Callithrix jacchus: one gene and its partners. The protein of the gene in region 3 interacts with the protein of the main gene of each other region in a biochemical or structural test. Links are inferred from orthologs where the notes say so. Each region holds a gene or a part of one and is shown on either strand. Other genes may lie near its edges.

Evidence for each region.
Region 1: the proteins of SH2D1B (region 3) and SLAMF1 interact in a test that uses a peptide from one of them, tested with the Homo sapiens proteins (2 studies listed by BioGRID). The link is inferred for Callithrix jacchus from reciprocal best matches to the Homo sapiens genes SH2D1B and SLAMF1.
Region 2: the proteins of SH2D1B (region 3) and ERBB2 form a complex in vitro, tested with the Homo sapiens proteins (2 studies listed by BioGRID and IntAct, with this or other methods). The link is inferred for Callithrix jacchus from reciprocal best matches to the Homo sapiens genes SH2D1B and ERBB2.

Annotation. Positions count from the first base shown.
Region 1 is NC_133519.1:20,570,631-20,574,277, forward strand, and holds part of SLAMF1 (signaling lymphocytic activation molecule), read right to left. Parts: intron 1,746-3,647; coding exon 1,461-1,745; intron 1-1,460.
Region 2 is NC_133506.1:120,167,658-120,171,304, reverse strand, and holds part of ERBB2 (receptor tyrosine-protein kinase erbB-2), read right to left. Parts: intron 3,274-3,647; coding exon 3,122-3,273; exon of another isoform or gene 3,059-3,121; intron 2,248-3,058; coding exon 2,034-2,247; intron 963-2,033; coding exon 828-962; intron 463-827; coding exon 394-462; intron 190-393; coding exon 74-189; intron 1-73. UniProt on the Homo sapiens protein: Protein tyrosine kinase that is part of several cell surface receptor complexes, but that apparently needs a coreceptor for ligand binding. Essential component of a neuregulin-receptor complex, although neuregulins do not interact with it alone.
Region 3 is NC_133519.1:39,150,681-39,155,102, reverse strand, and holds the start of SH2D1B (SH2 domain-containing protein 1B), read right to left. Parts: upstream 2,872-4,422; 5' UTR 2,752-2,871; coding exon 2,618-2,751; intron 1-2,617. UniProt on the Homo sapiens protein: Cytoplasmic adapter regulating receptors of the signaling lymphocytic activation molecule (SLAM) family such as CD84, SLAMF1, LY9 and CD244. In SLAM signaling seems to cooperate with SH2D1A/SAP.

The DNA of each region.
Region 1 (3,647 bases), about 19 Mb from region 3:
CTACCCACTATGCTGCCCTGCTTGATTGTCCTGCCAGCACCTTCTAAATGACTGTGGGTGGGGAGAGCTGGGCATTAGCCTCTGAATGAGGTTTGTATGCAAGGTGGACAAGCAGCCAGACACAGCCAGTAACTGAACAGACTGGGGACTCTGGCTATGAAATGGCTGGGGAAGAAACATAAGCAGTGGGTTAGACTCACTAAAGCACTCCCAGGTGCACAGAGGAGGCCAGGTGGGATTTCCCAGCAGTCTATCTGGGAATACTCCAGGATAGTCTCTGTGACAGGCAGCACTATGTGGAAGGGCACTACTTGACTGAATTCCCCTGTCCCTTCATCCATGACCACCTGGGAAAGCCCCCCACATGGGCACCATGGTTCCTGTGGGCAGAAGACCCACTGGAATGATTCCTATGAACCCCCAGTGGATGCAGAGAGGAGAACGTCAGGGTGTAAGCAATGCTTTGCAGAGCAAGCACCCTGGTCCTATTGTCCCTGAACCTGCCTGAGGCAGGGACACAAGATCTATTGGTGAAAAGGGCCTGTGTTCTATGCTGTTAGATGGGCTTACTTAATAAGCTCTCTCTTCCTTTTGCTGACAGAATAATAATGCTTTTCTTTCTCGAGAAAGAACAGTCTTTCTCGAGAGAAAGAAAGATTTAGGTTTAGGGACTAACACCACTATTTACAATTTTAAAAAGCTTGAGGAGGGTCCTTAAATACTATGAACGTCAATTTCCTCGTCTGTAAAATGAAAGTATAATAACACCTATCTGGCAAGGTTATTGTGAGAATCAAAAGAGATTAGCAGTCGAGAGTGCTTTGCTAATGATAAAGCGCTATGCAATTTATCATTATTCCTCAAACTTCACAGTCCAACTCTTAGTCTCTCTTTCTGACTCTCCTGGTCCTGCTACGGGATTCACAGTCAATTCCATGAAACGAGGCCCTTCATTATATCTTGTGTCTCACTATTGAACAAATGTTTTATGTCTTATCTTTACAATGAATTGCTAGAAATCACATATATTTATTCACCATTTCGTATCAGGTAGGTGATCAATAAATACTTATTGATGGTGTAGAACTGCCCCAGCATTAGTAGAGCATAGACTTGGGAGCCAGGCCTCCCACCTACACCGCCTCACCCAGCCAACCTTGCGGGTTGGAGCCAAGGAAAGAGGCACAGAAGAAGGCTGTGCCTTGGAGTCTTAGGCTCTTGGTTTGGCTCTATCATTTCCTGTCGGTTTCCTCAACTATGAACAGAGCATAGTAATGCCACCCTGGTCACCATGAGAGTGAGCTCACCAAAAGGAGCACGTGGACAACTTTTGCAAACTATAAAGAATATGTGAAGTATTGTCACTAAGGTGAATGCCATGGCTGGGGAGCAACGGGGCCAGGTGAAGACTGAGCCCATGCTCAGTAAGGGGGCACACAGGCTGCCACCAGCACACTCACCTGAGGGTTCTTGCCTGCATCTGAGCCATGGAATGAAGTCCTGGGAACTGTTGCTGATGGGGTTGCTCACAGTGCAGACGTAGATATTTTTAGCATGCTGGGGTCCGAGGGTGAGGGACAGGAGGTGGGAGCTGTTGGCTGGGCTCAGTGGTTGGGTGCCAGCCTTTTCACTCCAGCTGTAAGCCACATGGTCCCCCTTCTTCACTATGCAGCCCAGTATCAAGGTGCACGTCCCGTTCTCCTGGGTCTTGTTTAACACTTTAATTTCTGGAGTGGAGACCTGCTCTGTCAGGAGTAGGAGGAAGGGAGCCATCACTGAAATGAACCCCTGGGAATTCTCACTTGACCTTTCTGTTAGGACAAAGACTAATGGCATTCTCCCTCCCCCTCAGTGTGATATATTTCTAGCGGGGACTCTATTGCTTCACACTATTCCTCATGGCCCGCTACACTCTTTCTAAGACCACCTTGGGATAAAATAGAAAAGAAGAATTTGCTTTTTAGGCCCCTTCCACCAATACTGTGAGGGCTTCATTCGCCCTTACTGATGTTCTTGACCTAGGTTGCTATTCTCCTGTCTCCTATCGGTGGAGTTTGCTGTCAACTCATCCATTATGGTTTTTAATTGGCTTATGTTGTTACTTCCCAGACCTAAAAGAATGACTTTTTAGTAGTGGGATTTCATCTATAGTAATGGGTGTGGCAGGGTGTGTGTGTGTGTATGCGTGTGAGCATGCGTGCATGCGTGCAAGCATATGCCTGTTCATGGGTGAGTGGGTGGGTGTGTAGCAAGTGCTTTTGTGTGTCCGAGATAGAGATAGGTCCTCAATTATAACCATAGACCTCATCAGTCTATTCCACTCTAAGGCCATGAAATAGCCCAGCTAAAAGGTAAAACCTTGCTTATTTAGCAACTATTATAGGACAATCACAGTGCTCATTTACCATCTTTTTAAATCTTCTCAACAATTATAACTCTAGTTATAATTATTCCTGTTTTACAGATGAGAAAGCCAAGTCCCAGGGAGGTGGAATGTCTTACATCTCCCAGCTTCTAAGTGGCCAAGTGAAGATCCGAACCTAGAACTGTCTTACTGCGAAATCCAAACTCTTCCCTTGGCTTGATGCCATGGTTGCAGAGGCCACATTTTCCAAAGTAAGAATTTGATCACAGATGTGACAAAAACAGGAAACTAGGAACAAAAGGATGGAATGTATGGCATCCACACTGTTTTGAAAATGCATCTTGTGCAGCCTCCATGCTCATGGCAATCTTGCCCCGGAGTCACTGTTGGAGTGCCACGGGAATTCTGCAGGGACTGTTTGAAGGAAGGAAATGCCGGGACAAGGGAGGACGCGTGAAAGTATTGCTGTCTTCCCTCTAGATATTTGAGAATTTCAAACAAATGCTGGTTATGTGGGAATTCCTGTCCCATCCCCAGACATAAGGATGTCATTTTGAAGAAGCAGAAAAGCCCCACATGGCTATCAGGACCCCTGGGAATTCAGATGAGCCTCTGGGTCTAAGAGACACAATCCCTGAGTGCACTCAAGAGGGACAGGCAGTTAAAGAGGCTCAAAAAACCACTCTCCTTGGAATCAGGTGGACCTGGTTCCTAGTTGAAGTGCAGCAACTTACAGACTTTATAACCAAAGCCTTTGTTTAAATGCAAAAAAGGCACTTCTCCCACCCGGTAGGTGTGATCTGGTGCGGGAGTGCAGGGCTTAGCAAGTGGCATGTGGGCTGGATTTCAGCCTTCTTTATCCAGAACCCCAGTGCAGTGAAACACCTACATGAATGTGTGTAAATGTGCTAACCGCTTCTCTCTAGCTTTCAGTGTCTGCGTGTATGAGAGAGGCTGGGTTTCATCTGTGGTATTCAATTTTTTTAATCAGAAAAAAATCCTATTTTCAAATAAAATCTTATTTGCAAACCAAGATTCTTGAAGATATAGGCCCTCCAGCCCACAGGGAGCTGCCCCCTTTTCTTTGGGAAATGGGAGTAGGAGTAACTAGTGCTACCATCAATGTTCAATTTGGAAAAAAAATGTCAACCTTTAAAACGTCTTCCCAACAACAGGTTTAAATACCCTTGAATTAGAAGATCATTCAAGTTACTTCCAATTCTGAATACCCTTTGCTTTTGAGAGAGACCTAAATTCTTGGTCAAAGGAGCGCTTTGCCCCT
Region 2 (3,647 bases), on a different chromosome or scaffold from region 3:
AGTACCAGGCAGGGTGCCCATCCCTTGCATCCTGGGGAGTAGGGCACAGTAGGCACAAGGCAGAGGCACATACCAGGCAGTCAGAGTGCTTGGGGCCCGTGCAGCCGGCAGCACACTGCTCATGGCAGCAGTCAGTGGGCAGCGGGCCCTTGCAGCGGGCACAGCCACCGGCACAGACAGTGCGTGTCACTGTTGGGTAAAGGGAAGGATGAGGGCTGAATAGCACCCTGGACACTAGACCCTCATCAGCATCACCTTCTAGGGATACTACCTACCCCAGGGAAGACATCCCAAACCTGTTATCCCACCCCTCCCTTGTCACCTGTATGACACCTGTATTTCACCCTGCCCTGGCCCTCCCCTCCCTTGACTCCAGGCCTCCCTGAGACTCACGGCTCTGACAGTCCTCAGAACTCTCTCCCCAGCAGCGGGAGCCCTTACACGCCGGAGAGCAGGGGTGGCCTGAGGACAGAACCAGAGAGAGGCAGTGAGAGAGATGTCTAACAGCAAGAGGACAGGTTAATAACGGAGAGACACACAAACAGCAGCAGAGGCCACAAGGCCAACTGCACAGCAAGGGAGGGACCCCAACAGACAGAGAGGCCCCCAAACCAGAGGCACCACCTAGAGGCAGAGGGAGACAGGACAGGGAACCCCAGAGCCAGAGATGAAGAGGCACAGAGAGATGGCAGGAGGGACGGAGAGGGAGGAAATGAGTGGTGGAGGCAGCTGGGGCAGTGGCGGGCGGGCTCTGGGTTGTAAGTCAGGAGTCTGGGGCTGGGGTCAGGCTGTCCGAGAGAAGGAGTGGCAGGGGGAGCATGGCTTACAGGCCCGAGAGCGGTTGGTGTCTATCAGTGTGAGAGCCAGCTGGTTGTTCTTGTGGAAGATGTCCTTCCACAAAACCATGTCCTGGTAGCAGAGCTGGGGGTTCCGCTGGATCCAGACCCCTCCCTTCAAGATCTCTGTGGGGTGAGCAATGATCAGGGATCCTTTCCCCTTCGGTCACCTTCTGCCTCCCTTGGGGCCCTCATGCCTTCTAAGACAGGAGCAGGCCTTTTAAACCCCCTGATTTCCCAGGGAGGAGAGAAGAGATCTTCGGCATCTTCAAGCCCCACCAATACCACCTCCACCACATGAACAAAGCAAGACCAGGGAGAAGTGAGTTGTCCATGCTAGGTCCAGATGCCGACGTGGACCACAGCTTTCTCCTCCCCTCTCACCTCTACTCTGGGCATGCTGCTTGGCGGTTAACAGACTGTGGAATCTGAAACCCAGCCCCATCACTCACTCGCTATGTAACTTTTGTCCCTTATCTCATCTGTAGAATGAGAATCACTGATTCTTTCCTGACAGGACTGCAGCTTGACTGAAATGGGACCCTGCAGGCAAAGCACATGGCACCCAGACTCTGGGGACAGTCGGCTCCAGACCACCCAATAGTGACATGGGTTGTTCACTGTACGCTTCACTCAGCCAAGTCGGGGCAAAAACCCAGCCTGCATTCTATGATTGAATGATGTGTGCTGATGCAAGCTGCACCTTCCTAGGAAGACAGGGAATCTTTTCCCAATCTTCTGAGGGCATCTTCCTGGGCTCTGCCTGCATCTGCCTAGAGGGACACCATTTCTTTTTTTTTTTTCCCCCAAGATGGAGTTTCACTCTTGTTGCCCAGGCTGGAGTGCAATGGCATGATCTCAGCTCACCGCAACCAACCTCCACCTCCTGGGTTCAAGGGATTCTCTTGCCCCAGCCTCCCAAGTAGCTGGGATTATAGGCACGCGCCACCACACTAGGCAACTTTTGTATTTCTAGTAAAGACAGGGTTTCTCCATGTTGGTCAGGCTGGTCTCAAACTCCTGACCTAAGGTGATCCACCCACCTCACCTCCCAAAGTGTTGGGATTGCAGGCGTGAGCCACCGTGCCCAGCAGAGGGGACACCATTTCTAATCCACACAAAGCCTCCCCATGGTCAGCTGTGGCTCTGGTCAGCTCTGAATAACCAAGAGAAAGTTTCAATGATGGTGAAGGCCACCTGTGAGGCTTCGAAGCTGCAGCTCCCGCAGGCCTCCTGGGGAGGCCCCTGTGACAGGGGTGGTATTGTCCAGAGGGTCTCCGTTGTCTAGCACAGCCAGGGCATAGTTGTCCTCAAAGAGCTGGGTGCCTCGTACAATCCGCAGCCTCTGCAGCGGGACCTGTCTCACTTGGTTGTGGGCGATGAGCACGTAGCCCTGCACCTCCTGTATATCCTGGTAGGGAGCAGTAGGGTGGGGCTGAAGCAGGAACACTACTACCCCCCAAGGCCTCCCTGAGGTTCCCCAGTACTTAGGGATCTTGGGCAAGGCCCCCAGCCACGGAGCAGTCCTGTTCCCTCATATATAAAATGATAAAATGGAGATAAAGGTGATGTCCCGCCTTGTCTCACCAGATTCTTACATGATCAAGAAAGATAATGGTGGGGGGCACTTTGTAAACTCTGAGCAGGTGCCCCACCCTCTCTGCATCTTAGTTTCTTCCTCAGTGAAAGCAAAGGCCTGGATGGGATGGCGTCTACAATTTGACAAACCAAGCAGGTGACCCCACTCCAGGGTCCGTGGACATGACCCAGCAGGCTGGTTTCCACACTCTCTCTCCTGCTCATAACGTTTTCACAGACATTTCTCTTTCGAGCTTCACAATGGGTACCTATTGCTCCCAATAAACAGATAGGGACACTGAGACCCAGTGAAGCGAAGCGGGTGTAGGCCACATTCATAGGGCTTGTCAGTGGCAGAACTGGGCCTGTAATCCACCTTTCTCACCGGCCCTTTCTGCTCTGGATGGGAGCGGGACAGTGGCTGGGGCAGGTGGATGGGGGACATGATCATGCTGACAAGAGAGCACAAGCTATAGCAGAAACCCAGATGCATCCCATCCAGAGATGTCCTCGGCCAGCCACATTATAGAGAGTCAACTGATTCTGCAGTAAAACGAATGGGGGTTGGACGCTGGAAAGGACTTCCTGGTTGAGAAACAACAAGAGAGGAAATAAAGGGCAGGGCACCGTCTTCTGCCACCCACCTGTAAACAGAGGGCTCAGCCCAGCTGGAGGCAGGGCCTGGCTGGGTTGCCCATGGGCCTCACCTGCAGGAAGGAGAGGCTGGCATTGGCGGGCAGGTAGGTGAGTTCCAGGTTACCCTGCACCACCTGGCAGCCCTGGTAGAGGTGGCGGAGCATGTCCAGGTGGGTCTCAGGACTGGCAGGGAGCCGCAGCTTCATGTCCGTGCCGGTGCACACTGGCAGGAGGGAGCAGATGGGTCAGAGGACACTGGCCAGGGACCTTCTCAGATCTAGCCACCCCATCCAAACTCATTCCCAGGGTCATGCCACCTCAAACAGGGAGAAGGCCTGACTGAAGGACCCTTCCACCCACATCCCTTGAACCTGCAGGGTTAACAGCAGAAGAAAGCTTGTGTGTTTGGGAAGTAGAGGGATTTCAGGGGAGAGGCTCCTTCTGACTGGGCCCACCCTGTGCATCCAGAGGCTGCCCCAGCGTGCCAGCCCTGTGGAGCTTACCCGCCAGCACAGGGTGTTGGCTGGAAAAGAAAGACTCCCTTTGTCCCAAAGGCACAACTCAGAGCCAGGGGTAAAAATCCCCCAAGAGAGGCGA
Region 3 (4,422 bases):
TGAGCCATGATTATGCACTCCAGCCTGGGAGTTGGGGTGAGACCCTGTCTAAAGAAAAGAGAGAAAGAAAGAAAGAATGAAAGAAAGAAAGAAAGAACAAAAGAAAGAAAAAAAAAGGAAGGAAGGAAGGAAGGGAGGGAGGGAGGGAGGGAGGGAGGGAGGGAGGGAGGGAGGGAGGGAGGGAGGGAAGGAGGGAGAATCCCAATATTGACCGTATACCCTGAGATCCTGGCCAGTCTGTCCTTGCACCTTCTTTTTTCCCTTTTCGCTGCTTGCACCATCACAGCTAGCTCTTCACCATCTCCCATCCAGAGGCACAACAGTTTCTATTGCCATCATTTTCCAGCTTCACTGTGTTCTTCATGTCAGATTTAAGTTTCTAAATTCACTAGTCTTGTCACTTCTCCGCTCAAAAACCATCCATGTTTCCCCATTAGCTTTAGAACCACTCTTTTAAAACTACCTGATCTTATCCCATCCTCCTTCTCCAAAAGCTGGTTTCCAAATGACATTTTAGGAACCCTGTATGTACATACTTTAAAGTATCCAACTTCTAGACCACTGTTCCTACCTCCTCCCCTTCCTAAAGCACCTTCCATCCCATTTCTATGTAACCAGATCTTACCCACTCTTTATTTATTTGCTTATTTATTTTATTTTGAGACGGAAAGTCTCTCTGTCTCCCAGGCTGGATAGCAGTGGTGCCATCTCAGCTCACTGCATCCTCTGCCTCCCAGGTTCAAGCGATTCTCGTGCCTCAGCCTCCTGAGTAGCTGTGATACAGATACCCCCACCATGCCCAGCTAATCTTTGTATTTTTAGTAGAGATGAAGGTTTTATTATGTTGGCCAGGCTGGTCTTGAGCTCCTGACCTCAGTGATCTGCCCACCTCAGCCTCCCAAAGTGCTAGGATTATAGGCGTTAGCCACCGCTCCTAGCCAACATATATTTTTCTTTAAATGGTACTGTGGATGTAGGTATAAGAGAGATAGCCTGTCTCTCCAGTATCATTTACAGAAAGAAGTGTGTCCCAATGTATTCTATTAGTAAGGACAATCACTTTTGTCTGTAATCAGACTTCTGAGCCTACTCCATGGCCCATTTGTGTACTTCCTTGTAAAATCCAGTTTTAGCAAAGAACCCTACTAAGTCAGTTTGGCAAGGACACCTCGCCCTAGCTATCTGATCACTGTCAGGTTCTGATGAGATTCCTCCTCCTCCACCATCCCCCAGGCAACAACTGATCACCCTGGTCTGTCTTCAGCTACAATTCTGTTAGGCTGGCTTAGCCAGAATCCCCTTTACCCCTGATGTTTCCTCTGAGTAATTTTCTAGCCACTGATCCCACACTACTCCTTGGCCATAAATTCCCACTTGTCCGTGCTGTACTCAGAGTTGAGTCCAATCTTTCCTCTGCACTAAGAGCTCCTTGCAGTGGTCCCTATACCTATTGTGATGATCCTGAGTAAAGTCTTCCCAACCATGATTTAACAAATGACATAGAGTAATTTTTTTCTTTAACAAGAGACACCGGGGTTTCACTTTCTGTTACAGGTATAATAACAGGTTCAGTGGCCCCTACTTTACAAAGAGGAAAATACATCAAGATAGGAGGTTTCTAGTGATATCTGTTCAGATTTCTGTTTAGGATTGCTTTCTAAACTGGGCATAAGCAAGTTCCTTCCACTGGGTCTCTTTGATATTGTAGCCTGGAATTTCTTTTTTCTTTTTTTGAGGCAGGGTCTTACTCTGTTGCCCAGGCCAGAGTGCAGTGGTGCAATCTTGGCTCACTGCAGCCTCTGTCTCCTGGGTTCAAGAGATTCTCCTGCCTTGGCCTCTCAAGTAGCCAGTATTACAGGCACACGCCACCACACCAAGTTAATTTTTGTATTTTTGGTAGAGATGGGGTTTCACCGTGTTGGCCAGGCTAGTCTCGAACTCCTGACCTCAAGTGATCCCCCTGCCTCAGCCTCCCAAAGTGCAGGGACTACAGGCATGAGCCATGACACCCAGCCTGGAATTTCATATTTAACTTAGACTCTGGAAATTCCAAATTAGTTTTAACACAAATTATTTGAGAAACCAAGGTCTCTGTTTCTTTACCTATGAAATGGTGACTGCTTATGCTTACCTTGATAGACTACAAGAATGAAAGAAAATGACGAATATTGAAGTCCTTTACAAATCTAACAAAATGTGAAATATTATTAGGATTTATAGTTTAAGTATTGCAAGTGGATACTGCAGAATAAGTAGTCTTTCAGATTGAAATTTCTTTTAAAACCCCTAGCCTTTTCCATACCAAATAAACAGATCTCTGGAGAACAGTACCTTCTCTCCATCCCCCCGTACCCCTCTTCTTCAGCCCTTCCCTTCACCACCACCATATCCCTCCTGCTGCTGCAGAGTCTGCTTGCAGGCCTTTACACCAGGGAGAGCAAGGCAGATGGGGGAGCACGGACAGACACATGCCTCTCCTGGCACTGCTCATTATTTCTCACTTTATGCATTTTGACTGCAACATCAGAGTGAAACACTGAGGGATATGTATTCCTTTACTGTGCCTTTGCCGCATTCAATGTACGATGTCACATGTGTGCAAGATGAGGCTACTCACGAGACACAGAGGCACAGGACTCCTGGTATCGACTCGCTGTCTCTTAACAGAAAGTTGCCATCCACCCCTTCCTTGAGCAGCAAGGTTTCACAGTCTCGCTTGGTCAGAGGGCCGTGGTAGTAAGGAAGATCCATGGAGAACGCTCTTGTATCCCAGGCAGCCCTGTTGGCCTGAAATTCACCCCCAAGCCAAGGGACAGCTCTGAGGAGGGATGTGGAAGCAGTTGTGCCTCCTGTGGAAATAGCTCTGTCTCTAGTGATCTGTGAGACTCAACCAGCTTCATGAGATTCAGGAAATGAGAAGGGCGGGGTGATAAAATGACCAACACATTTTATCCTCTATGTGGCCCACATGTGACTCACAGAAAGGGGTAAAGCACATTTAAATACACAGTGGAATCAGTGAAGCTCATCGCTAGGGAGACAACGCTGAAGTCAAGCTCTCTGGAACTGCGTTGCAGCCTGTATATTACCATGTACTATCATCACCTTCTCTGGCTACTGGCATCCTGTGCAGGAAGCACAGCATCGCTTTTGCAGTAATGGTACCCATTCTCTGCTGAAGTTGCATAGGATTGGGCTATGCTTAGCGTAGACTGGGTGCTCAAAAAGCATTGGGATGCTGAGAGAATTGATATGCTCAGATACAGTGGGAAAATTGAAACGGTGGCATTTCCATGGATCAAATGACACCAAAAATGGAAGATATTAATGGGAATAGAAAACAGTGGGACACTGTGGATGAGGACAGCCCATTCCATGACTAAGGCTCCTAGCAACTGGCAAAAAAAAGCGCCATTTTTAACACCCTCAAGCATTGTACCTTTTGGAGAAAGGGCTGGTGCAGGTGGGAGGGTTAACTGGTATACTCAAATATCCACAGGAAATCACTATATATCTCAAAAATGAATCCATGAAAATGAAACTAAAATAGAAAAGATGAGTTCGTGACGTATCTTTATTTCACTTCTTCTTTTTCTTTTTCTTCATCTCTGTAGATACCTGGAATCTTAACTTCTTCTTAACCCAGATGTGTATTTCACATTGCTACTTTGCTTACCAGCTGTTTACTCACACTTGGGGTGTATCTTTCAGGAAACTTCCTTGTAACGGTCTTTGTTCTTCCTTGGAATTCCCACTCTTTGCTGTTTGGCATAGCGTAGTTTCACGGATCAAGGAACTTGTTATCAGAGAGAGCTGCTCTCAAATACCAACTTTTCTTCTGTGGTTTTGGACAATTCATTATTATATTTCCCTGGGAACTATGGCAGTTGAAGACAGAGTTATTAATGATGAAAGAAGAAATTCGGTAATTATTGGGAATACATTCACAATCATCGTGTGAAGATGTTTTTGACATAAAAGAGAAAATAACTGAAAGTATGCTCAGGCTCTTGGTTATCACAGGGGCTTGCTGGACCTTTTTCCTGTTTCAAAATTCAATCCTCAGAGTAAAAGAAATATAAATTAAATCCATGCTGAGAGAACATCTCTCACCTATCATATTGGTGAAAAAAATCAAAAATGTGAAAACTTACTGGATTGGTGATGGTGAAAGAAAATAGAACATCTTGTATCTTGGTTAGGATACAAAATAGTTACAACTATAGTAAAAGAGAGTTTGACAATGCCTTGCACATTTGTGTATGCCTTCACGATCTAATAGAACAATCTCAGTCTAGAAATCTATCACAAAACTACAGGCAGGATTAGAAAATAACTTGTGAATAAGGTAGTATTTTTAATCGAAAAAGATGACAAACAACTGAAAGACTTGTGAGTAGAGGGATAAGTGAATAAGCTGGG